Linked DNA regions of Caenorhabditis elegans. The protein of the gene in region 1 interacts with the protein of each later gene in a pairwise test. Each region holds a gene or a part of one and is shown in the gene's direction. Other genes may lie near its edges. The genes, in order: samp-1, sec-23, npp-9 and pygl-1.

Region 1 (4,913 bases):
TTTGTTTCAAAGATCTTCAGAAAAAAACATAATTTATTTTCAGAAAAGATGTCTTCAAAACGAAAAGTTCTTCTGATGGGCAAAAGTGGATCCGGCAAGACTTCGATGCGTTCGATCATATTTGCCAACTACATCGCCAGGGATTGTTCGCGTCTCGGGCCAACAATCGAAGTTGAGCATGCTCATGTCAAGTAAGGGATCAATTCTGGATCAATTATCAAAAGAACACAATTTTTCCTTTTCCAGGTTCCTCGGAAACATGGTTCTTCACTTGTGGGATTGTGGTGGTCAGGAATCATTCATGGAGAACTTCCTCGTCTCGCAAAAGGATCAGATCTTCAAGAATGTTCAAGTGCTCATATACGTATTCGACGTGGAAAGCCGAGAGTTCGAGAAAGATCTCAGATATTACCAGTCTTGTCTCGAAGCTCTTCTCCAAAATTCACCGAATGCTCAAGTCTTCTGTCTCATTCACAAAATGGATCTGATCGAGGAGGACAAACGTGAAGAGACGTTCAAACGTCGTGAAGCAGATGTACTGCGATACAGTGAACTTGCAGCGACTCCACTTCAGAATGAACGGACGAACGCTGTTTGTCAATGCTTCAAGAGCAGTATTTGGGATGAGACACTCTACAAAGCGTGGTCCGCGATAGTCTATCATCTGGTGCCAAACGTCGGAACCATGGAGGACAAGCTGAAGAAGTTCGGAGCTATTTTGGATGCCGATGAAGTTATTCTATTCGAGAGAGCGACGTTCCTGGTTATTGCGCATGCTGTTCTCCGAGAGCATAAGGATCCACATCGATTCGAGAAGGTTTCAAACATCATAAAGCAATTCAAGCTTTCATGCACGTAAGTTACATCGAAACAGATTAATTCAAGCTTCATCTTCCTTTCAGAAAAATGGGGTCCAAGTTGGATTCGATTCAAGTCCGAAACAGTCAATTCTCCGCATTCATCGACTCGTTCACCCAGAACACTTATGTTATGGTAAAATCTCAAATAAAATGTATTTTAAAACACTATTTTATTTTGTTCAGATCGTGATACCCGACGGCAACGCATCGGCTCCAATGATCACAATGAACGTGAAGAACGCGAGGAAGGTGTTCGAGGCGATCGAGACGAAAAGCTAGACGAATTTGAATATTTCACCGAGTTCTTGCCCCGCATTCCAGTTATTTTCGTTTAGTTACCATCCCATATCCCATGTTGCTGTATTATAATGCTAAACTGATTTATTTAAATCCAACTGCAAAATTGTTCAACTCTATATTTTTCACTATATTTCGTAATTCACCGCTTAGATTTTCCGTTTCGCCAGTGCTTTTGCGAAGTTTTTCGTTTTTTTTGTTTAATTCTCCCCGTACCATCCAAATCCGATTCTTTGCGATAGTCATCATCGAAAAAACCTATCGTTCGTGTTCTTGTTCTGTATTTGTATATGAATTGTGCTATATTTTCATTTGGAATTTAACTGATATTTTCTCGTTTAATTAGTAATTTGTTATCAACAAGTCTGCCTATTTTAATCTATGTTTAAAAAAGTATAAAATTTCAATATAAATTCAGATGGAGGTGGCTGCTGCGGTCGGTGTGATCGCTTCAGTTCCGATCCTTTATAAGGCTATAAGGTAATGTTTTTCTTCTTAATTTGCAAAAAATTAATAATTATACATATTTTCAGACCTCGGATAAAGACATCGGTGGAGTGCTGGTTTTGCCGCAAAAGCACGAAGGTCGAATACCAGCAAAGGAATAGCTTCACCTGCCCGTCATGCGAACAATACAACGGATTCACCGAAGACGGAGACTATAACCGTCGGATTCCTGGACAAGCGTGGACTACACCCAAGAGATATTGTGAGCCGGGGAAAATGCAGTCAGAGAAGCCGAGCACATTTTTGGATCGATTTGGCGGGGTGAACATGAGTCCTAGTGAGTTTAATATCCTTTTTTTATAATTTATGAGTTAAATTAAAATTCCAGAAGCTTCTAACGGTCTCTGCTCGGAATGCAACCTCGGCCAGGAGATCATAATGAACAAGGTCGCAGAATTCGAGCCCATTGATGAGGATCGATGGAACGAAGAGCTCGAGGATTATCGATACAAACTGGAAAGAATGTACCAGCTGTGTCCGAGATGTACAATTCAAGTTCATGGAAAGCTGGAGGAGGATAAGAAGAAATACTCATATCTTCTGAAAGTGAAATATAAGCTGAAACATGCAATTGGATCTACTCTACGAGAAGTGATGAACAATCAGAAACGATCGCGGAGATTCTTCTTCGCCGGTGGAAGTACATGTGAAGCTCTTCATTTTGGATGCCTCATCTCTTCAATTATTCTCTTTTTGGCGAATATCGACTTCTTACAGCAAGATGCAGGAGCATCGCTGATCAATTTGCCAAAGGCTCTTCAAGATATTCTGCCAGAAGTTTATAAATATTCCTTCGTCATCAATTTTCTGATCTTCACTACACATTTGATTGCTGCATTTAATAATAAGTAAGTTTCATTCTACAATACAAAAAAACTGTAATTTTAATTTCAGATGCCGAGTTACTCTTCCCGACCTGCTGCTGCCCATCCTTCTGATCCTCGCAATGCTAACAGTTTTGACTTCAAGTGATGTGAGTTTCAAAATATACCCTTTGCAAGTTTTACACCTCTTTTTTTCAGAATTTATCACAAGATGTCGCTCTTGTCAGAGGTGCATGTGCTTCGTTTTCAACGATCCTTTCAATGGCAGTGACACTTCTTCCAAGGAAAAAGCTGCATAAGAAACGACCGAATAAGATTGTTTCAAGGTTAAATAAATATTTTATTTTTAAAAATTCCTTCAACTTTTTCAATTTTCAGTGCCTTCTCTGTTGCGTCAACTCCGATCTCTCAATGCTCTTCACAAAACAGTCGAAACGCTTCACTTCTCGATCATGACCACACGATTCTTCGAAGATCTCCACATACGCCATCAGCAAGCCCTCCAGCAATGAATTCCTCTCCACCATTGCTCCGTGAAATAACAAATGGTCCAGTGTGGTCTGCAATGAGAAGTCGGGAGAACAAGGAAAATATGCAAAGTTATCAGACTAAACCTAACAATCACGTGGAATCAATGGATTGGGATGATAGTGAATCGATGGCGGCTCAATCGGTTGCTCAATCAACTCGTTCCAGTCATTTCAAGCCAGGACTTTTATCCAGAAATATCAATGAAAGAATGACTGCTCAACAGCTTACACCCTCCGTGGCAAATTTGAATCTTGATACGAGATCTGTCGATTCTCCAAGTATATTCTCAAGACAACACCGGCAAATGGCTCAGCAACAGAATCACACACCGACTAGATCATTGTTCGGGCCACCACGATCTATGGTAGCTTCACAATACGACAGGAGCCACTACATGGCACCGGAAGCACAGTAAGATTTGTTGAAACTGAAATATTTATTAAAACTTAACCCTTTAATCTTGAACAATCAGTTATTTTTTGTTTAGAATGATAATTAGAGAAGCAATAGTGTGATAGCATTTGTGCAGGATAATTGTATATTAGACTTTTAAAAACTTAGAACTGATTGGACGTTGGACTTTGATAAATAATATGTGGAATTTTGGTTAGACCTTTCAAGTCACAGGTCACGTAAGCTCAGATGAAAACTAAAATTAATTTAAAAAGAATTGAAAATTCCGTTATTATTCAATTTAGATTTAAAATTTGAAGATTAGATTTTCGTTTCGAGACCGTGGTTACGGTATTTTGGAGCCAATAATATTTTGCAAGAACCAGCATTTATTGAAAAGATTGACTAAATTCTGTTTGGTTTTTCTACGTTTTTCCTTCTATTAACCTTCAAGATTCCCATCAATTTTATTTATTTACAGCACTCGACCCGGTTCAGTGTTCACATCGGTCTCGCAACAAGACGGACACTCAACGGTCAGCGGCGCGTGGCAGTGTCGCGTCATCGGCATCCTCTTCGCGCTGGTTTTTATCGTACTCATCATGCAGATCGGACTGTTCTACGTTCTTTTCACCCGCAATTGATTCGACCTTATTATATATGTTGTTTTCTATGTTTCATCTCTCTCCTCATCATGCCCTATTCACATTTTTGTTGTTTGATCCTGTGTGATATTAGTTTCAAGTTATTTGGGTTCCCAGTGCTCTTTTACTATTTGATGTGTGTCTAGCTCGTTTTGTTGAATTTATTCTTTCAAATATGCCCCTTTTCACCCTCTCTGATGATCTCACTTCGTTGTTAAATACCTTACTACTTCAATTTCTACTACATGAAACCCATCTACATATACATCTCTCTCCAGTACAAGTCTATTGACAAAATGAATAATTCCCGAGAAAAAAGAACGCGCAAAAGATGAGAAATGGATTGCAACAACATCAACAAACAAGGCAGCTTCCCCATCCCGCCTGCTGCGCACCACACAATTGCTCCACTCCTGCGCTTCTCCCGGATTGCACACTGTCTGGGAGTGGTCGAATCTCTGCGTCTCGCCAATTCACACACTCTTCGTGTCCTCTGTTTGTCCGCCTGACCTCACTTTAGTAGATGTCTCTTTTGAATACCAGTTTTCTATGCCCAAAATTGGGAAAACTTTGAAATTGGCAAATTGTAAGGTTTTTCACAAAACTTAAAAAACACTTCTATATTTACTGCTAATCAAATAAAAAAATCTTAAAAACCACCGGTGGCGTAGTGGTTAATTATTTTGCTGCCGCTCAGACGACGCCAGTTCGACTTTTACCATCTTCTGCCACAATTACGGTTACTCGTATTCATCTTCTCACAATTATCCACACCGTCATTTGTTCCTTTTCTCTTCCGTATCTCATATTTTCCTCCCTTTTCTTCTCATATTTCATTCACTTGTGATCCTCCCTTC
Region 2 (4,810 bases), on another chromosome or scaffold:
CAGGCAATTGTACACCCACTGAAACGAAAAATTGATTTTTGAAAAAGAAATTTCGAGCGGAAAATCGCATTTTCTCATTTAAAATTGTGCGATTTTCAGTATTTCTACTAATTTCCGAATTTTTATTCACTTTGAACGCTAAAAACTCTGAAAAACAGAGAAAATCTACGAATTTTTAATGGTTTTTGTCAATTTTTTGCAGAATATTCTCATTTTCTGTCTTGTTTTTCACTTAAAACCAAAAGAAAAATCAAAAAATTCGAAAAAATCGAAGAAAAACGAGTGAAAATCGATAATCGTGATTTTGGGCGCTGCTTAGACTACAAACTACACGTTTTGGGCGCTGCTAATTCAATTTTGGGCGCTGCTTAGACTACAAACTACACGTTTTGGGCGCTGCTAACACTACAAACTACACGTTTTAGGCGCTGCTAATTCAATTTTGGGCGCTGCTAAGACTACAAACTACAAGATTTGGGCGCTGCTAATTCAATTTTGGGCGCTGCTAAGACTACAAACTACAAGATTTGGGCGCTGCTAATTCAATTTTGGGCGCTGCTAAGACTACAAACTACAAGTTTTGGGCGCTGCTAAACTACAAACTACACGTTTTGGGCGCTGCTAAACTCATTTTCTTGGTATTTTCTCCGATTTTCTTCATTTTTTCGCTGCTTACATTGAGATTCAGCTGATATTTCTCAATATACGGCCTTGTAACAGTCTCATAAAGCTCTGGAGTCTCTCGAATCACGAATTTCTCCTCCTGACGGTATTTTGCAATGAGACGATCGTTTATCGGGTAGATTAGTTGAGATTTTAGCACTGAAAATTGAATTAAAAATTAATTTAAGCAAGATTGTGTGGATTACAATTCAATTTGGGATCGATTTCTATATTATAGGACCCGAAAATGTCATTTCTGGAGATTTCTTGAAGCTGTGCAGTCGCCAGAAGCTTCTCGATATCGGATTTTTCTTCGGAAAACGGAGACTTGTTGGCAAGCAGAATGCCTTGAGATCCATCGGGATGGGAGAGCAAAACGAAGAGAGACTGGAAGAAAATATTGATTTTTATGATTTTTAGGTGAAATTTATTGTTTCTTAATGCAAAAAATTCACTTTTTATTGATTTTCTCACCTTATGCGACGAATCAGCGCCTAAAATCTCTTGAAACTTGGCATCCTGCAGCCATTTCTGTGTACTCTCCTCTGCACGCTCCTCTCGCACAAGTTCCTCGTCGGCGATCCGTTTCATACTGAAAAATCGAGATTTTCACTTATTATTCACCAAAAAGATACAGAAATTGCAACGAAAAACGGTAGAAATCGAGAAAACCAACTCAAAAAACATTTTCAAAAGTGTCACGCATCGTAAAACAACACACTGGCCGCGGCCTAGAAAACTCCAATTCTTTTCTCGGCCATCTTCCTCCACGTGTACATTTTCTGTTGGAATTTTGCAGATTTTCACTCGTTTTTCACCATTTTTTCTGATTTTTCTTGCTAAAATATTGAAAATAAGTCGATTTTTATTGATTTTAGTGTAAAAATCATAGTTTTCACCTTGCATATGTCGAAAAAATGACGAAAATTGATTGGGCAACCATAAAAACCCAAAAAACTCGATTTTTCGCTATTAAACGTGATTTTCAGTGTTTTATATTAATAAAATTAAAATTTAATGGTGAAAAACCAGAATTTCACACGTAATCCACGTATTCTCCTCGTTTTTCATCATTTTCCGCGATAAAAAGTTCATTACCAGTTTATTCCAGTAAAAATGGCCACTTGGGAAGAATATTTGGGTGCTCAACAGGCGAACGATGGCGTCCAATTCACGTGGAACATGTGGCCACACAGTCGAGTGGATTCTCAGAAGCTTGTCGTCCCGCTCACCTGCTTTTTCACGCCGCTGAAGGTAAAACTGAGGCGCGGAAACTGGATTTTCTTCGAATTTTTCGTGGAATTATTGAATTTTAAGCATTGAAAATTGGATTTTGTAGCTGCCGAGCAGCGCCAAAAGCTGAGGAAAAGCCTATTTTCAGCAATTTTTCTTCAAATCCATCGAAATTCCATCAATTTTCTCCGAATCTTTGCAAATTTTAGTGGATTGCTTCATTTTTTGCCAGAAATTCGTTATAATCTTCTAAAAATTCAAATTTGGTAGCTGCTCGAGCCGATCGGCAGCTTCGAAACACCGAAGGCATGAATTTCAGCAATTTTTCGATTAAAAACGCGATTTTTTTCTCAATTTCCATCGGAATTTCTGCATTTTTACCTTAAAAAGTCGGTAATCTCTGCAAAAATCGTAAAATTCCGCTGAGAAACGCAAAAAAAAAATTCAATTTTGGGCGCTGCTTAGACTACAAACTACAAGTTTTGGGCGCTGCTAATCCAATTTTGAACGCTGCTAAAACTACAAACTACAAGTTTTGGGCGCTGCTAATTCAATTTTGGGCGCTGCTAAACTACAAACTACACGTTTTGGGCGCTGCTAATCCAATTTTGGGCGCTGCTGAAACTACAAACTACAAGCTTTAGGCGCTGCTAAACTACAAACTACAAGCTTTAGGCGCTGCTAATCCAATTTTGCGGAGTTCAAGCCGATTTTAAGCTGAAATTTCACGATTTCTCATCAAATTTCTCTCAAAAACCAAATTTTTTTTCCAGGAGCGCCCATCAACAGAAGTCGCCCAACCACCACTGGAATATGATCCGGTTTTGTGCCAAAAAGCCAGCTGTAAAGCGATTTTAAACCCACTTTGGTGAGTTTCAGGCCTTTTTTTGCCCGATTTTCACCCCGAAAAATGATGCTTTCAGCGCCGTCGATTATCGCGCCAAAATCTGGATGTGCCCATTCTGCAACAATCGGAATCCGTTCCCGGCTCATTATGCGGCAATTGCCGAGGATAACCGCCCGCCGGAGCTCTATCCACAATTTACAACCATTGAGTACACGCTTCGAGTGAGAAAATGCTGAAAAATCCGAGTTTTAAGCCAAATCTTTATTCCAGAAAGCCACCACAATGCCGCCGATCTTCGTTTTCGTCGTCGACACGTGTATGACTGCAGAGGAGCTGAAATCGCTGAAAGAATGCCTTCAAGTACGGGACAAATTGCAGAAAATTGAGAAAAAAACGGCGGTTTTTTAAAATTTTCGCGGAAAATTGCTCGAAAATTCGTCGGTTTTCCAACTCAAAATTTGTGATTTTTTCACTCAAAAATGGGAATTTCTGCTGAAAAATGGGAATTTCTGCTCATTTTCGCTTGAAAATTCGACTTTTTTAAACATAATAGTGTTATTTTTCATGAAAATTGGCAATTTTTGCCGTAAAATTCAGATTTTTGGGCAAAATTTCCCAATTTTTCCAATTTCAGACTGCTCTCTCGCTGCTCCCAGCCGATGCTCTCGTCGGATTGATCACCTACGGTAGAATGGTCCAGCTGCATGAGCTCAACACTCAGGGAATCTCGAGAAGCTACGTTTTCAAGGTAATAAATTGCAGGGAAAATTGGATTTTTTGGGTTAGAAGCCTGAAAAATGCCGAAAAATGCCAAAAAAAAAACACTAAGTAAATGCAAAATGAATAGCGAAAAATTAGAGAATTATTGAAAATTCTCGGATTTCAGTGAACAATTCGAACAAAACAAGACTATACACTTTTTAATTCAATTTTCCATCCAAAATCTTATAATTCTATTCATTGGTTACTAGTATAGTAATTCAATTAAATAATGCGCTCAATATGCTCAATTGACCAGTTTTCTCGAAAAAGTAGGATTCTTCATTAAAAATAGATGTTAAATTAAATGTTATACTATATATATAGTTGTTCTGAAACGTTAAAGCTCTAAAATGCGGAATAGTTAAAGGTGGTGTCGTCGATTTTTTTCAAATTGCTTTATTTAGACTCAAAATTGTCTGAAAACACCGAATTTCATAATAAAACTTCTTGAAAACTTTTCAAAAAAAGGTTATGACGGCTCAAAAAATGGCCTAAAATTAGTTAAAATCGGAAATTTGACTAACTTATCAATGTCGCAGCGGCTGGAAATTTTTTTTTTTGAAATCATCGTTAAATTTTGAGTTTACAAGTTGATTATCTTGCGTTTTAAACTTGATTAAGCTATTTAAAAATCGATGGACGGCGAGTTTATCGATAAAAAAAATTAAAAATCTCGCCGTACATCGATTTTTAAATACCTTAATCAAGTTTAAAACGCAAGATAATCAACTTGTAAACTCAAAATTTGACGGTGATTTCAAAAAAAAAGTGTTTCCAGCCGCTTGACAAGTCGGTCAAATTTCAAATTTTAACTAATTTTAGGCCATTTTTTGAGCCGCCATAACTTTTTTTTGTCAAGTTTTCAAGAAGTTTCATTATGAAATTCGGTGTTTTCAGACAATTTTGAGTCTAATAAGGCAATAAAAAAAATTCGACTACACCACCTTTACCTATTCCGCAGAGCTGTAACGTTTCAGAACAACTATATATATAGTATAACATTCAATTTAACATTTATTTTTTATGAAGAATCCTACTTTTTCGAGAAAACTGGGTCAATTGAGCATAAGTAGCGCATTATTTAATTGAATTACCATACTACTAACCAATGAATAGAATTATAAGATTTTGGATGGAAAATTGAATTAAAAAGTGTATAGCCTTGTTTTGTTCGAATTTTTCACTGAAATCTGTGAATTTTCAATAATTTTCGACTACACCACCTTTAAGTTAATAGGTTAATTAACGACTATACACCGACTATACACTTTTTTATTCAAACTTCATAAGACATATTGAACATGT
Region 3 (5,778 bases), on another chromosome or scaffold:
GAAAATAATAGTTTTTCGACGATAAATTCAATTTTTCGAGAATTTTTCATGTTAAAACTCTCACAATAGAGGTATTTGCTGGATTTTCAGCTTTAGTTTCTCCTGATTCTCCGGTGAATCTTTTAGAAATCGACGCGGATGCATCACTGCCAGCAGGCTGCTCATTCTGCAATTTTATCGATTTTTTCTCAGTTTTCAGTGGATTTTTACCATCGCCTGCCGATATTGTCCAACTTGAGCGGCGAGTTGTTCTCCATACTGCTGAGCTGATTGTTTAAGCTTTCCGGCTTCATTATCCAGCCGGTTTTTCAGGTTTTTGAACATTTAAACCTGAAAAAATCGATTTTTTAGTGGGGAATTTGCAATAAAATCGAAAAAAAAAGTATTTTAAAGGTTAAAAACCATATTTTTAAGAAGAAAAAATCATGAAAAGTTGAAAAAAATTCATTTCAAAAAACAAAAACAGAAAAAATAACAAATTTTAATCAAATTAAGCCTGAGATCCGTTTGAGAGTTTTCTTTTCAATCCGTTTTCCTTCGATTTTCCCAGATTTTCACAAAGTTTGATAGTTTTCACGGACAAATCGATCATATCAACAGCGTTGGCAATGGATTTTGACAATGATTTCGGATCTTTTGATTCGATTTTTCTGAAAATTAACTTATTTATTTAGTTATTCGAATAGAAAAACTATTACATGACTACAAATTCGCCTTCGCTGCACACTTCCCGTCGAGCACCACTTCTTCTCGGCTCTTTATCGATTTTTATGACATCTGCCACGGTTCGAGCCGCTTCTTCTGTTCCGACGGATAATCGTACGCTTCTGGAATTAATCGGATTAGAAACTGCTGTTAGAACTTCAGAAAATGTTAATTTTGAAACAAAAACATTTAAAAAACAGTTTGTTTTTTGTGTTTTTTAGCGAAAAACTCACGCTGAGTGGATATATGCCGTGCTCGGAGAGCTTGGGTCACATTCGTCCTCTGAAGATGACGATGAGCTTGTGTCTACTTCCATTTTGTTGTTGTAATCACTAAAAAACACAATTTTGAAAGTTTCTGATGAAAAATCAATAAATTCGCTGAGAAAAGTGAATAATAAATGCTATTCCAGGCAAAATTGACATTTCAAAAACCGAAAAAGCCATAAAAAACGACGGAAAATATCAAAAATCCTGTTTTTCGCCTGAAAAACCGGTATTTTCCATGAATAATTGCCAACTCATGGTTAAAGGCGCGCGTGTCGATTTACGCAACGGGTCTCGCCACGGCGCAGGAATTTGAACTTTTTTCGAAATTTGCGAAGCTTGGCGCCCAATTTCTATTTATTTTAGACTGTTTCGCCATAGTTTTTCCGTATTTTTACGAAAAATAGCTGGAAAACATTTTTTGTGCGTTTAAAAGCATATTTTATACAGAAAAGACTAGTTTTAAAGGTAGGAAAGCCCTATTTTAAGCAGGGAAAGCGTTGGCGCGAAATTTCGAAATTCAAATCCCTGGCGCGAATTCTTTGAAGTATTGCTGCTAATTTTCAACTAAAGAGACCGCAGTATTCGTCTTTTTATCTCGCTTTAGCTTGAAGTCTCTTGAATTGTTTACCTGATATTTTTCATATTTCAGCTCTCCTTTCGCAATGAGCGATCAGAAGCCGGTAAGTGAATCTTTTCGAATGTTGCTCAACATGATTCACGGTATTTCAGAATATGGGGCGCATTGTCGCCAGCGTCGTGGATGTGCAGCAGTTGATGACAATGCAGTTTGACTCGCTTATCAAAAGCATGGACTCGTTGAAGGTATGCGATTCATGAAAAACTCAATTTAATACTTATTTTTCACAGATTGAGCACCAGACCGGCGTCACCCAGCTTCGCGATGATATTCGTCGATCCGAGGATCGGTTTCAGAAGCAGTTGTCCGATTTGAGCACTAATCACGGAAAAGAGCTCGAGAGACTTCATCAAATTATACACACTCTTCTTGCTCGTGATGCGAATCCTCTCGGCTCAATGATTCCTCCACAGCAGCTTCAGCAACAACAGCAAATGTTGATTCTTCAGCGACAAATGGAGATGGCTCATGTGCAGGCAGCACAAGCTCAAGCTCATGCTCACGCTCAAGCTCAAGCCCAAGCACAGGCCCAAAGCCAAGTTATGGCTAATTTGCTCAATGCTGCGAAGCCAGCTATTCCCGTTACACAGCCACTGGTCGCCACTACAGCACAAGCAAAATCGACAGTTCCAGCTTCTGGAGTTATTGCACCAAAGGTAACAAATTTTCGGGTTTTAGTTCCAGCAATTAAAAATTCAATATTTTTCAGACATCTCCACCAGAAGTTGTAATTCCACCTGCTAAGCCAACATTCTCTACTCCAACGCCTGCAGTTGTTCCAAAGCCAGCCACCACCGGATTCTCATTCGGCGGGACCAATCCAGCTACTTCAATCTTCGGTAAAAAGCCTGAAACTGCTTCCCCAGTCGTGGTTCCAGCAGCTAAAGATGATGAAGACGAAGAACATGATGAGGATTACGAGCCAGAGGGCGAGTTCAAGCCAGTCATTCCACTGCCAGATCTTGTCGAGGTGAAAACTGGAGAAGAAGGAGAGCAAACCATGTTCTGCAATCGTTCAAAACTCTACATTTATGCCAACGAGACGAAGGAATGGAAGGAGCGAGGAACCGGCGAGCTGAAGGTTCTCTACAACAAGGACAAGAAGTCGTGGAGAGTTGTTATGCGACGAGACCAGGTGACCATTTCGGAGGAGACACTCCCTTCAAATATTGAGAATGGAACCGAAGAATTGTGTTGGAATATTCAGGTTATTCCAATTACAGCTTTTTTCACATTTTTCGGCGTTTTCCTCAACAGAAAGATCTTAATTTAAATTTAAATACCTTAATTTAGCATTAAAATAAATTACAGGTTCTCAAAGTCTGTGCCAATTTCCCAATTCTCGGCTCGATGACCATTCAACAAATGAAATCCAACGAGAAGGCCTACACATGGTTCTGCGAGGACTTTTCCGAAGATCAGCCAGCTCACGTGAAGCTTTCCGCTCGTTTCGCTAACGTCGATATCGCTGGAGAGTTTAAGACTTTGTTCGAGAAGGCTGTCGCTGAGGCAAAATCATCGAGCAACGCTGGAAAGACCATCGACAAGGAAATCAAGCCGGCGGCTGAGGTGAAGAAGGAAGTCAAGCAAGAAGTTGTGATTCCATCAAACAACAAACCGGAAGAGACTGGATTTGGAGATCAGTTCAAGCCAAAACCAGGATCTTGGGAATGCCCTGGATGCTATGTTACTTGCAAAGCTGACGAGATTGAATGTGCCTGTTGTGGGACATCGAAAGACGGATCTGTCAAAGAGAAAAATATATTCTCTAAGTAAATATTCTATTTGAGTTATCTTAAAATTAAAAATTTAAATTTGCAGACCTTCGATCCTCCAGCCTGCCCCAGGAACTCCAAAAGTGACATTCGGATTCGGAGCATCTGCTCCAGCCAAGGAACCTCTTGCTCAAACATCTCAGTTCGGTGGATCACTCAGCGGATCTCCAAGCACTAGCAGTAGCATTTTCGGTGGTGGAACACCAAAGGGAACAAGCGTTTTCGGTGGAGGTGCTGCTAATACTCCAACTTTCTCATTCAACAAGCCAGCTGCCGCTGTCAATGCAACTACCCCATCGTTCAATTTCAACAATCCTGCAGCTTCAACTGCTTCTCCGGCAACCTCTACGACTCCAGGAAATTCATTGTTCGGAGGTGGACTCTCCAAGACTGAATCTACAGCTTCTTCAACTACTACTCCGTCGTTTATGTTCGCCAAGAATTCTGAAAGTGCCTTCCCAAAGCCAACTTTCTCATTCGGAAAGCAACAGACTCCATCAACGACTGCACCAGCTAAACAAGAAGAAAATAAACAGTCCGAGACGCCAAAATCCGTGTTCGGTAGTGGATTCACGTCTGGAGGTGCAACATTCGCTGCCCTTTCAGCCAACTCTGCCAAATCTGGCTCCATTTTCGACGCAGCAAATGTCAAGAAGGCCCAAGAAGAACTTGCTGCTCAGAAGAAGGCAAGCATTTTCGGGAGCAAGAACACCACGTTGAACACGACTTCTGCAACTTCACACGATGGTGATGAGACGAATGAGGATGGAGATGGGGAGTATGAGCCAGAAGTCGAGTTTAAGCCAGTTATTCCTCTTCCGGATTTGGTTGAGGTGAAAACTGGTGAAGAGGACGAGGAGGTCATGTTCTCCGCCAGATGCAAGCTTTATAAGTACTATTCGGATCTCAAGGAGAATAAGGAACGTGGACTCGGAGATATTAAGGTCAGATTTAGGATTTTATATCAAAATGAGCCAGCTTGGCATGTTCTTTTGATAGTTTTCATTAAAATTTAGTGATAAAACGTAGAAAATAACTTATTTCAGTTGAAACAGTTAAGAAAAGTGCTAGTTTTGCGCACTTTTCAACTGTTTTGCAAGTATTTTCTATGTTTTTTCACTAAATTTTAATGAAAACTATTAAGAAAACAACTGATTTTTGACTCATAGAGGCTAAATTTGAGAAAAATAATTTATTATTTCAGCTCCTGAAAAGCAATGACAACAAATATCGAATCGTGATGCGTCGTGAGCAAGTCCATAAGCTCTGTGCCAATTTCCGTATCGAAAAGTCGATGAAGCTCAGTCCGAAGCCAAACTTGCCAAATGTGCTCACATTTATGTGCCAGGTAGCAATTTTTAATTTCTTTTTATATAAAAATGTACTATAAATTCCTTATTTTTCAGGACTTCTCAGAAGACGCCTCCAACGCTGATCCAGCCATCTTCACCGCCAAATTCAAGGACGAGGCGACCGCCGGAGCATTCAAGACGGCTGTTCAGGATGCTCAATCGAAGATGTAATCCTCTGCTGATTATTTAAATTATTTTATTATTGTTATTCCTCCCCACCCAGCACTCTGTGTTAGTATTCCCCACCACCAATTTTATTTATGAACCTAGTTTTATTCATCCCCATCTGCTGTCATCTATAGTCCTTTAAGTGTAGTTTATATTTGTCTGGTAAGGTTTTTAAAAAAATAATTTCCTTATTTCCCCCCCATCTCTCTCAAAATCCCATTGTTCTCATAAGTACCCCCCACACACTATCATTCATAATTTTTGTCTTTAAAACTTAACTATATTGTTCACATTGTCCCGGCATCGATTTTTCCCCACTGGTGACAATCCAATAAATTGTGAATGCATTGAAGAATGAGATTTATTTTGAGGGCGGGAAACAAATAAATAGGGATTAGGAAAAAAAAGAAATAAATTATCGTTTTATTTGATCATCAAGATGGGTGATATCTGAGAAGACGAGAACTTTCGATGGAATTGTACGCTGTGGGCAGAGAATTGACATTGTTCGCTTCTCCAAATCAACCTGAAATTTGGATAAAATTGAAATTTCCGTTCGAGACCCAAAAACTCGACGAAATACCAACCTCCGTGACAAGACAAAATCCAAAAACCGGCGATTTCAGCACATTTTCGTCGGCTTTCGTGCTCCGCGAGAACGCGAACAAATGATGTTTAATGTCGGCACTGGGCTCCATGATAACCAGCTTTGTCTCATGATTTTCAACTTCCATTCCGAATGGTAGACATGAATCGGGCAGTTGCTCGGCTCCGATTTTACAAAGAGTGACGTCATCGAAGCTGACGTCAAATGTGAATGGGTAGAGATTGTTGGCACGGGTTCCGTAGAAATACTGCAAAAAAAAAGTTTT
Region 4 (7,658 bases), on another chromosome or scaffold:
GGTGTCAAGATGTTCCATAGCGACTTGATCTACAAAAAATAAGGGAAATTTTTCCACAGAAAAATTACCTCATCACACTCTAAACCATGCGAATTCAATTAAGAAATGTGCGTCTAAATTACCGAAGCGATTATTTTTTATTTCATAAAACTGTTCAGCATAATCAAATATACCAGAAAATACCAAACAACATACTCTAGCTTGTACGGAAGTTTATTTTAAAAAATTTCAAAACTTAACCAAAAGCTGTTATATTCAAAAATTCAAAAGTACGGTAAAATGGTATGGAGTCATTCTTTTTTATTTCATAAAACTGTTCAGCATAACTAAGTATACCAGAAAATACTAAACAACATGTTGTTAATTAAAAAAGACATTTTTTAGCAGTTTTTCTTCAGATTTTATTACGGACACACTAAATCCTGAGAATGCGTATTGCGCAACACATTTGACGCGCAAAATATCTCGTAGCGAAAACTACAGTAACTCTTTAAATGACTACTGTAATGCTTGTGTCGATTTACGGGTTTGATTGTGTCATCACTGTCACTGTTCGAAAATAAAATCATTTCGAAAATCGAGCCCGTAAATCGACACAAGCGCTACAGTAGTCATTCGAAGGATTACTGTAGTTTTCGCTACGAAATATTTTGCGCGTCAATTGTGCTGCGCAATACGCATTCTCAGGATGTAGTGTTCCAGAAATATCTAAAATATAAATTTATTTAAAAAAATAAATTTTTAGCAGTAAAATTGAATTTTTTTAATTGTATTAAACATTTTAATAATATTTTATTATTGAACTAGAGGTTGTTTCATGAAATAATTTGAAATAATTTTTTTTTTCAATTTTTTCGAAAAAAGGTAATTATTTTTGAATTTCTGACGATAATTTAGCGATTTCTGGCTTGAATCACCTTTTTCTTTCAAATTTTCAGACTTTTTTTCCGGAAAAAAAGTAAAATCATCGATTTTTACGCCAAATTTTTTTTTCTAGTGGTATTTTTTTTCTAGTGGTATCAATTTTCCTTCACGCAAAAAATATCTGAAAATTAGATGAACGGTGTTTTAAGTGTTTTAAATCGAAAAATCAAAACAAAAACAATTAATTTTGACAGAAAATGGGAAAAAGTCAAAACGTTTCATTTATTTGCGCAGGAATTCGAAATTAATTCATCCACTTTTCTTATATACTTGCAAAATTCTTTTTAAAAAATCATTAAAAAATTGAGATAAAAAGTTTTTTTTCAACAGTTATATTATGTTGTTACGGCCAATTTTCTATGCTTTGAAGCAAGTTTTCAATATAATTTGTTCTAAATTTGATCTTAAATGAATTTTCTTTAAAATAATCTGCAATTTTTAGGAAAAACTGTTTTTCAAGCAAGAAAAACTAAATTATTTATTTATTTTTAATTAAATTTAAATTCAAATCCGCTACGGCGAGTACGGTGCGCATCGGTGTTTGCGTACTCGCCTACCGTACCCTCGGTGTTGTTGGCGCGAAAATTTTGTTTTCCAATTTTCAATCATGGCGCCAATTTCTGCATTTTCGGTGCAATAAACCACTTGTTTTCGTCAATTTTTTGATTGTCTTCTCCAAATTTTTATCAGTCATTCTTCACTGTTCACCTTCGTAGCCGCCGGTGACACCGAAAATGTCGGATATTGCTGCTCGTTTTGGATTCTTCAACTGGAACAACGTGCGCCCGGTAAGTAATTCGCTGATTATTTCATGCTATCAAGCTTCTTCTTCATCATCTGCTTCATCTGCTTCATCTCTTCATAAGCCAGAAAATCATAAGAAAAAAAACAGCGAGCAGGCAGGGATTTAAGTGAGTGTGTGCGTGCAAAATGGGGAAACGGCCGGCTGAATCTTGCCGAAAAACACGTACGCTTCACTTCAGGCTTCTCCTTTTCGCTTCTCGCCGGCACACACACACACACACACACATGTCAGTCTACTTTTCCCGCCACTTTTCTTCAGCCCATCCTCTTCCTCTTCTATAGGACTTCGGCTCCCAGCTCTCGTTTCACTGGTCATTTCATTTCATAAGCGACGGTGAAAATTGGAATCTATCGAACCTATACGCCTCAAGAATCGTTCACCTTGCCCCCTCCAGCTCGTCGCGTTGTTTGTGCGGTGATTGGTCCTCACTGTACATATACAGTGTTCAAAAAACGGAAAAATACCCGTTTTGTTGTTCTGCTGCACCGCCCGTCTTCTCATTGATATCATAACAGGAGGCGGTGATGATAAGAAAGTCGGGAAATTAATATTAAAGCTTCTAGAAACAGATTTTTCCTCGCCAAAAAAAAAATAAAAAATCTCTTGATTTCTTGGTTTTTCAATTTTTCAATCTTCAATCTCGTCATCTTCTCGACAAAAAATTTGAATCTCCGCCTGCTTCTCTCTCTCTCTGTTTCCCTATCAGTGTCCGTCGGGGTCACACACAACATGTATTTTTCTCTACATCTCTGCTTCTCCCAGAGTTGTTTTCCTCTCCTCACATTTTACACACACGCTCACAAACCCCTTCGCATCCTCTCCCCATCCATTTTTTTTAGATGGCTCGGGCCTCTATGCTCTTTTTTCGATTCCACATAAGCGTGGCAGCTCCCCGAAAGTTTTCGGAACTTTTTTTCAAATTTTCTCAATTTCCAATGGCATCGATCATTCACGTGCACACACTCGTCTCAGTTGAAAAAGAATTGATAAATCGGCAGTGACAAGAATTGTTTATCAAACACAAAGCGGCCATGTCTACCGATAGTCTTTTCCATATTCGAACAGATTTCCGCAAGATTTTAATTAATTAATTCGAGTTGACAGCACAATCTTTGAAGATTCGGTTTTGCGACAATTAAATGCTTTTCTTTGACAAAATCATAAGTAGAAAAGCTTTAAAGTTCAAGCTTCAGGCTAAACAAAAAAGGCTGTGAGCAAAGAACAAAGTCTTCCGTAGCCCAGAAGAAAGTGCCCCTCACTTTCATTAATTTTTTTTTCGATTTTCTTGGGCCGACCGGGTGATAAAAATACACCGAAATATCCTGTCGTCGTCTACTGATTGTTGTTTTATTATCACTTACGCGTTATCAGTTTATCGGTAGTTTTCTGCATGTTGACTGACCGCCGACACGGTCAACACTGATATTATTCGACGTTTTAGCCTGATCAGTTTGAAGCGATGCATTTCACTCCTCAATGATCAGCGAAAATATTTTTTCTTCGATTTTTTTTTTGGTTCAAGGAGGAATGCTTGCTTGTATAGGATCAAAACTTCGCAGAAAATTACTAATTTTAGCTAAGATCCCCAGTTTTGCCAGCTTTTCCGTGTCGCAGTGCTCAGAGACTAACTTTTATTTGATTATCATCTTTTATTGCATATTTTCATCACTTATTTCGTTGATTGAGGCATTTTTGGTCCCTTATCGGCTTAAATGCACCTAGATCAATGAAAAAACGTTGGATAAATGCCCAATAAATGATGTTAATCAAATAAAAGCTAGTTTCTGCGAACTGCGACACGGAAAAGTTCGCAAAACTAAAGGTTTTTGCGGAAATTTGCGATTTTTTTGAAAAATATAGCAAATCCACGTGGCTTTCATACTTTTTTCAAAAATCTTTCATCTTGGAAATCACGGGGCCGGCCCCTGCTATCAATATTGATTGTTGACTGATCACTGAACTGCCCCCCTCCTGTTGACTTTGTACTGCGTCGACTACTATCTCGCAACACATTTTGTTTTCTGGCCTGACTCGCCATTGCCTGCAGTGTTCGAAATTTTTGTTTGTCCACCATTCTTATCACAGTAGCCGAACAAGTTATAATTTTCACCACTTTCCGCTCATTTTTTCTCCCAAAAAAACCAATTTCCAATTTTCAGCAGCCCGTGGTTGCCGAATCGACTGCCTCATCGTCGAGTCCGAAGCTGTTCAGCATGATCACCAACGATCACGATCGTCGCAAGCAGATCTCCGTGCGCGGAATCGCTCAAGTGGAGAACGTGTCGAACATCAAGAAGGCGTTCAATCGCCACCTTCACTTCTCGATCATCAAGGATCGTAACGTGGCCACCGATCGCGACTACTACTTCGCGCTCGCCAACACTGTCCGCGATCATCTCGTGTCTCGCTGGATACGAACTCAACAACACTACTATGACAAGGATCCGAAGCGGGTCTACTATCTGTCGTTGGAGTTCTACATGGGGCGAACGCTGTCGAACACAATGATGAACCTCGGAATTCAGGCGACCGTCGACGAGGCGCTCTACCAGCTCGGTCTAGACATTGAGGAGCTTCAGGAGATCGAAGAGGACGCCGGGCTCGGAAACGGAGGACTCGGACGTCTCGCCGCGTGTTTCCTCGACTCGATGGCCACGCTGGGTATTCCGGCTTACGGATACGGGCTTCGCTACGAGTACGGAATCTTCAAGCAACTTATTCGTGACGGATGGCAGATTGAGGAGCCAGACGATTGGCTTCGCTTCGGAAATCCATGGGAGAAGGCTCGTCCAGAGTACATGCTTCCGGTCAACTTTTATGGAAAAGTTGTGAAGGAGGATGTGAGTTTTGATTTTTTGGAGAAAATTAAATTTAAAAAAATAAAAAAGGAATGGGCCGAACTGGGGATTGAACCCGGGACCTCTCGCACCCAAAGCGAGAATCATACCACTAGACCATTCGGCCATGTTTGGAAATCGTGTTTGGAAGCAATCAAGATGCACAATAATCGATAATTGGCTGATTGCGAGAAATAATAAGATTCGATATCTCTTCATCACCAGCTTTCACGTATCTAATCGTGGCCGAATGGTCTAGTGGTATGATTCTCGCTTTGGGTGCGAGAGGTCCCGGGTTCAATCCCCGGTTCGGCCCATTCCTTTTTTCTTTTTTTCGCTTACTTTTTTTATTTTTCATTAAAAAATATATTATTTCAGGGAAAATCGAAATGGATCGACACTCAAGTTGTGTTTGCCATGCCATACGACACACCAGTCCCCGGATACAAGAACAACATCGTCAACACGCTTCGTTTGTGGTCCGCCAAAGCCGAAAATCATTTCCACCTCAAGTTCTTCAACGACGGAGACTACGTGCAGGCTGTGATGGATCGTAACTTGTCCGAGAACATCACTCGTGTCCTCTACCCGAATGACAACGTATGTTTGAGCTAGATTTTGGCAGAAAAAAAAAATCAATTTCCCCACATTTTCAGATGTTCCTCGGAAAGGAGCTCCGTCTCAAGCAGCAATACTTCCTCGTCGCCGCCACCCTCCAGGACATCATCCGCCGCTTCAAGTCCTCCATCTACGGAAACCGCGAGGCCGTCCGTGTCAACTTCGAGACCTTCCCGGATAAGGTGGCCATCCAGCTCAACGACACTCATCCATCGATCGGAATTCCCGAGTTGATCCGTCTCCTCATCGACGTCGAGGGACTCACCTGGGATCAGGCCTGGGACATTTGCATCAAGACCTACGCCTACACCAATCACACCTTGCTCCCAGAGGCCCTCGAGCGCTGGCCAGTGTCGCTTATGCAGAATTTGTTGCCGCGTCATTTGGAGATCATCTACGAGATCAATCAGAAGTTCATGAACACCATCTCGCAGAGATTCCCAGGAGATTTCGACCGTATGCGTCGTATGTCGATTGTCGAGGAGGCCGATCAGTTCGGCGAGAAGCGCATCAATATGGCTCATTTGTGCATTGTGGCTTCTCATGCCATTAATGGAGTCGCGGCTCTTCACTCGGATCTTCTCAAGAGCTCCACGTAAGCGAAAATGCTCTGAAACCTGGCGCTAGAACCAATGGGCGACGCATCATTTTGCAGCTCCGCCGCACGAATTTATTTTGGCTGTTTTTCGCATGATGTTTTGAAAGATTTCGATATGTGAACTCGATAAAATCACGAAAAATTGATAATTTGTCATTGAAAATTCGGACAGAAAGAGAAAAAACATCGTGCGGCGGTGTTGCTAAATCGCGCGCCGCAAATTGCAATCCCGGCCCGCCCAATTTTTCTTACGCGCAAATTGCAAAATTACCATTTTAAAAAATTAATATCATCCATTTCCAGCTTCCGTGACTTCTATGAGTTCTACCCGGATCGCTTCCAAAACAAGACGAACGGAATCACACCACGCCGCTGGCTTCTTCTCTCCAACCCATCTCTCGCCGACCTCATCGTCGAGAAGATCGGCGAGTCGTGGATCACCAATCTCGACGAGCTTCAGAAGCTCAAGGAGTACGCCAACGATGCCGGGTTCCTCGATTCGATTCGTCGTGTGAAGCTCGAGAACAAGCAACAAGTCGCCCAGTATTTGAGCGACGAGTACAATGTCAACGTGAACGCCGCTTCGTTGTTCGATGTGCATGTGAAGAGAATCCACGAGTACAAGAGACAGCTTCTCAATATTCTCCACGTCATTGCTCTCTACAATCGTATCAAGGAGAACCCGAACATCGATATGGTTAAGCGTACCGTGTTGTACGGAGGAAAAGCTGCTCCAGGATACCATATGGCTAAGCAGATCATTCGTTTGATCACCGCCGTCGCCGAACAAGTCAACAATGATGCCATCGTTGGTGATCGTTTGAAGGTCATCTTCCTCGAGAACTACCGTGTCTCGATGGCTGAAAAGATCATTCCAGCTTCTGATCTCTCTGAACAGATCTCGACCGCCGGAACCGAGGCTTCAGGAACCGGAAACATGAAGTTCATGTTGAACGGAGCTCTCACAATCGGAACTCTCGACGGAGCCAACGTTGAGATGGCCGAGGAGATGGGCGACGAGAACATCTTCATCTTCGGAATGAACGTCGAGGAGGTTGAGGCGCTCACAAAGCGCGGATACTCTTCGCAGGAGTTCATCGACAAGAGCCCAATGCTCAAGCAGATCATCGAGCAAATCGAAGGTGGCATGTTCACTCCAGAAGATCCAGATCAGCTCAAGGATCTCTCCAACATGCTCCGCTATCATGATCGTTTCATGGTGTGCGCCGATTTCGACGCTTTCATTGAAGCCCAGGATAAGGTAAAACTCAAAAAATTCAACTAATTCAAATTTTTACTGATCAAAATAAATTATTTTCAGGTCTCCGCTACATTCCGCGACCAAGAGAAGTGGTCTCGCATGGCCCTCTACAACATCGCCTCGACCGGAAAGTTCTCAACAGATCGCACAATCACCGAATACGCTCGTGAAATCTGGGGAATCGACCAGTTCGAGAGCTCTCTTCCAGCACCATATGAGAATGAGAAGAGCGAATAATTCTTCTATGCACTAACATTGTAATTAATTATCGCCATAACTTCCCCTCCTCTCCGTCCCATTTAGTTTATAGCATTTTTATAGAAGCCTTTCCCTCCCCCGATAATTCTTGTGAATCTTCAAGATCAAATTGATTTTGTCCTCTCTGCCCCCAGTCCAATAATCGTACTTCCCCCGAATGTGTTGCCATACTTTGAGATTGTCTATTTGCACGTCTGCCCTGCATATTTATGATAAATTGACTGAAAATATCAACTTTTTTTTTTTAATTTTGACTCGAATCTGCAAATGCTGAAATTTAATTAAAAATTATGGCTGTCTGAAGGATCTTCAAAGAAGTTTCGATACCTCTACGACCAGCTCGTTAGCAAAATACCA

What was found.
Region 2: the proteins of samp-1 (region 1) and sec-23 interact in a two-hybrid assay, tested with the Caenorhabditis elegans proteins (one large-scale study listed by BioGRID).
Region 3: the proteins of samp-1 (region 1) and npp-9 interact in a two-hybrid assay, tested with the Caenorhabditis elegans proteins (one large-scale study listed by BioGRID).
Region 4: the proteins of samp-1 (region 1) and pygl-1 interact in a two-hybrid assay, tested with the Caenorhabditis elegans proteins (one large-scale study listed by BioGRID).

Annotation. Positions count from the first base shown.
Region 1 is NC_003280.10:11,301,316-11,306,228, forward strand, and holds samp-1 (Transmembrane protein 201 homolog), read left to right. Parts: upstream 1-1,575; coding exon 1,576-1,637; intron 1,638-1,690; coding exon 1,691-1,941; intron 1,942-1,992; coding exon 1,993-2,512; intron 2,513-2,558; coding exon 2,559-2,637; intron 2,638-2,686; coding exon 2,687-2,814; intron 2,815-2,866; coding exon 2,867-3,430; intron 3,431-3,893; coding exon 3,894-4,056; 3' UTR 4,057-4,371; downstream 4,372-4,913. Other genes in the region: raga-1 (GTP-binding protein), read left to right, coding at 49-191, 247-855, 903-993, 1,044-1,139. UniProt on the Caenorhabditis elegans protein: Plays a role in nuclear migration in hypodermal cells.
Region 2 is NC_003283.11:20,089,489-20,094,298, forward strand, and holds the start of sec-23 (Protein transport protein SEC23), read left to right. Parts: upstream 1-1,774; 5' UTR 1,775-1,779; coding exon 1,780-1,917; intron 1,918-2,669; coding exon 2,670-2,764; intron 2,765-2,819; coding exon 2,820-2,964; intron 2,965-3,013; coding exon 3,014-3,103; intron 3,104-3,377; coding exon 3,378-3,491; intron 3,492-4,764; exon of another isoform or gene 4,765-4,810. Other genes in the region: dcs-1 (m7GpppX diphosphatase), read right to left, coding at 1-18, 677-822, 870-1,050, 1,138-1,254.
Region 3 is NC_003281.10:3,400,122-3,405,899, reverse strand, and holds npp-9 (Nuclear Pore complex Protein), read left to right. Parts: upstream 1-1,623; 5' UTR 1,624-1,636; coding exon 1,637-1,654; intron 1,655-1,703; coding exon 1,704-1,796; intron 1,797-1,841; coding exon 1,842-2,267; intron 2,268-2,320; coding exon 2,321-2,818; intron 2,819-2,922; coding exon 2,923-3,383; intron 3,384-3,432; coding exon 3,433-4,330; intron 4,331-4,590; coding exon 4,591-4,734; intron 4,735-4,792; coding exon 4,793-4,909; 3' UTR 4,910-5,256; downstream 5,257-5,778. Other genes in the region: golg-4 (GRIP domain-containing protein), read right to left, coding at 65-166, 211-324; F59A2.5 (L antigen family member 3), read right to left, coding at 491-650, 699-827, 939-1,021; Protein clpf-1, read right to left, coding at 5,322-5,432, 5,494-5,760.
Region 4 is NC_003283.11:3,577,510-3,585,167, forward strand, and holds pygl-1 (Alpha-1,4 glucan phosphorylase), read left to right. Parts: upstream 1-1,632; 5' UTR 1,633-1,658; coding exon 1,659-1,712; intron 1,713-3,877; exon of another isoform or gene 3,878-3,888; coding exon 3,889-4,569; intron 4,570-4,621; exon of another isoform or gene 4,622-4,693; intron 4,694-4,810; exon of another isoform or gene 4,811-4,882; intron 4,883-4,944; coding exon 4,945-5,166; intron 5,167-5,222; coding exon 5,223-5,779; intron 5,780-6,085; coding exon 6,086-7,043; intron 7,044-7,103; coding exon 7,104-7,280; 3' UTR 7,281-7,533; downstream 7,534-7,658.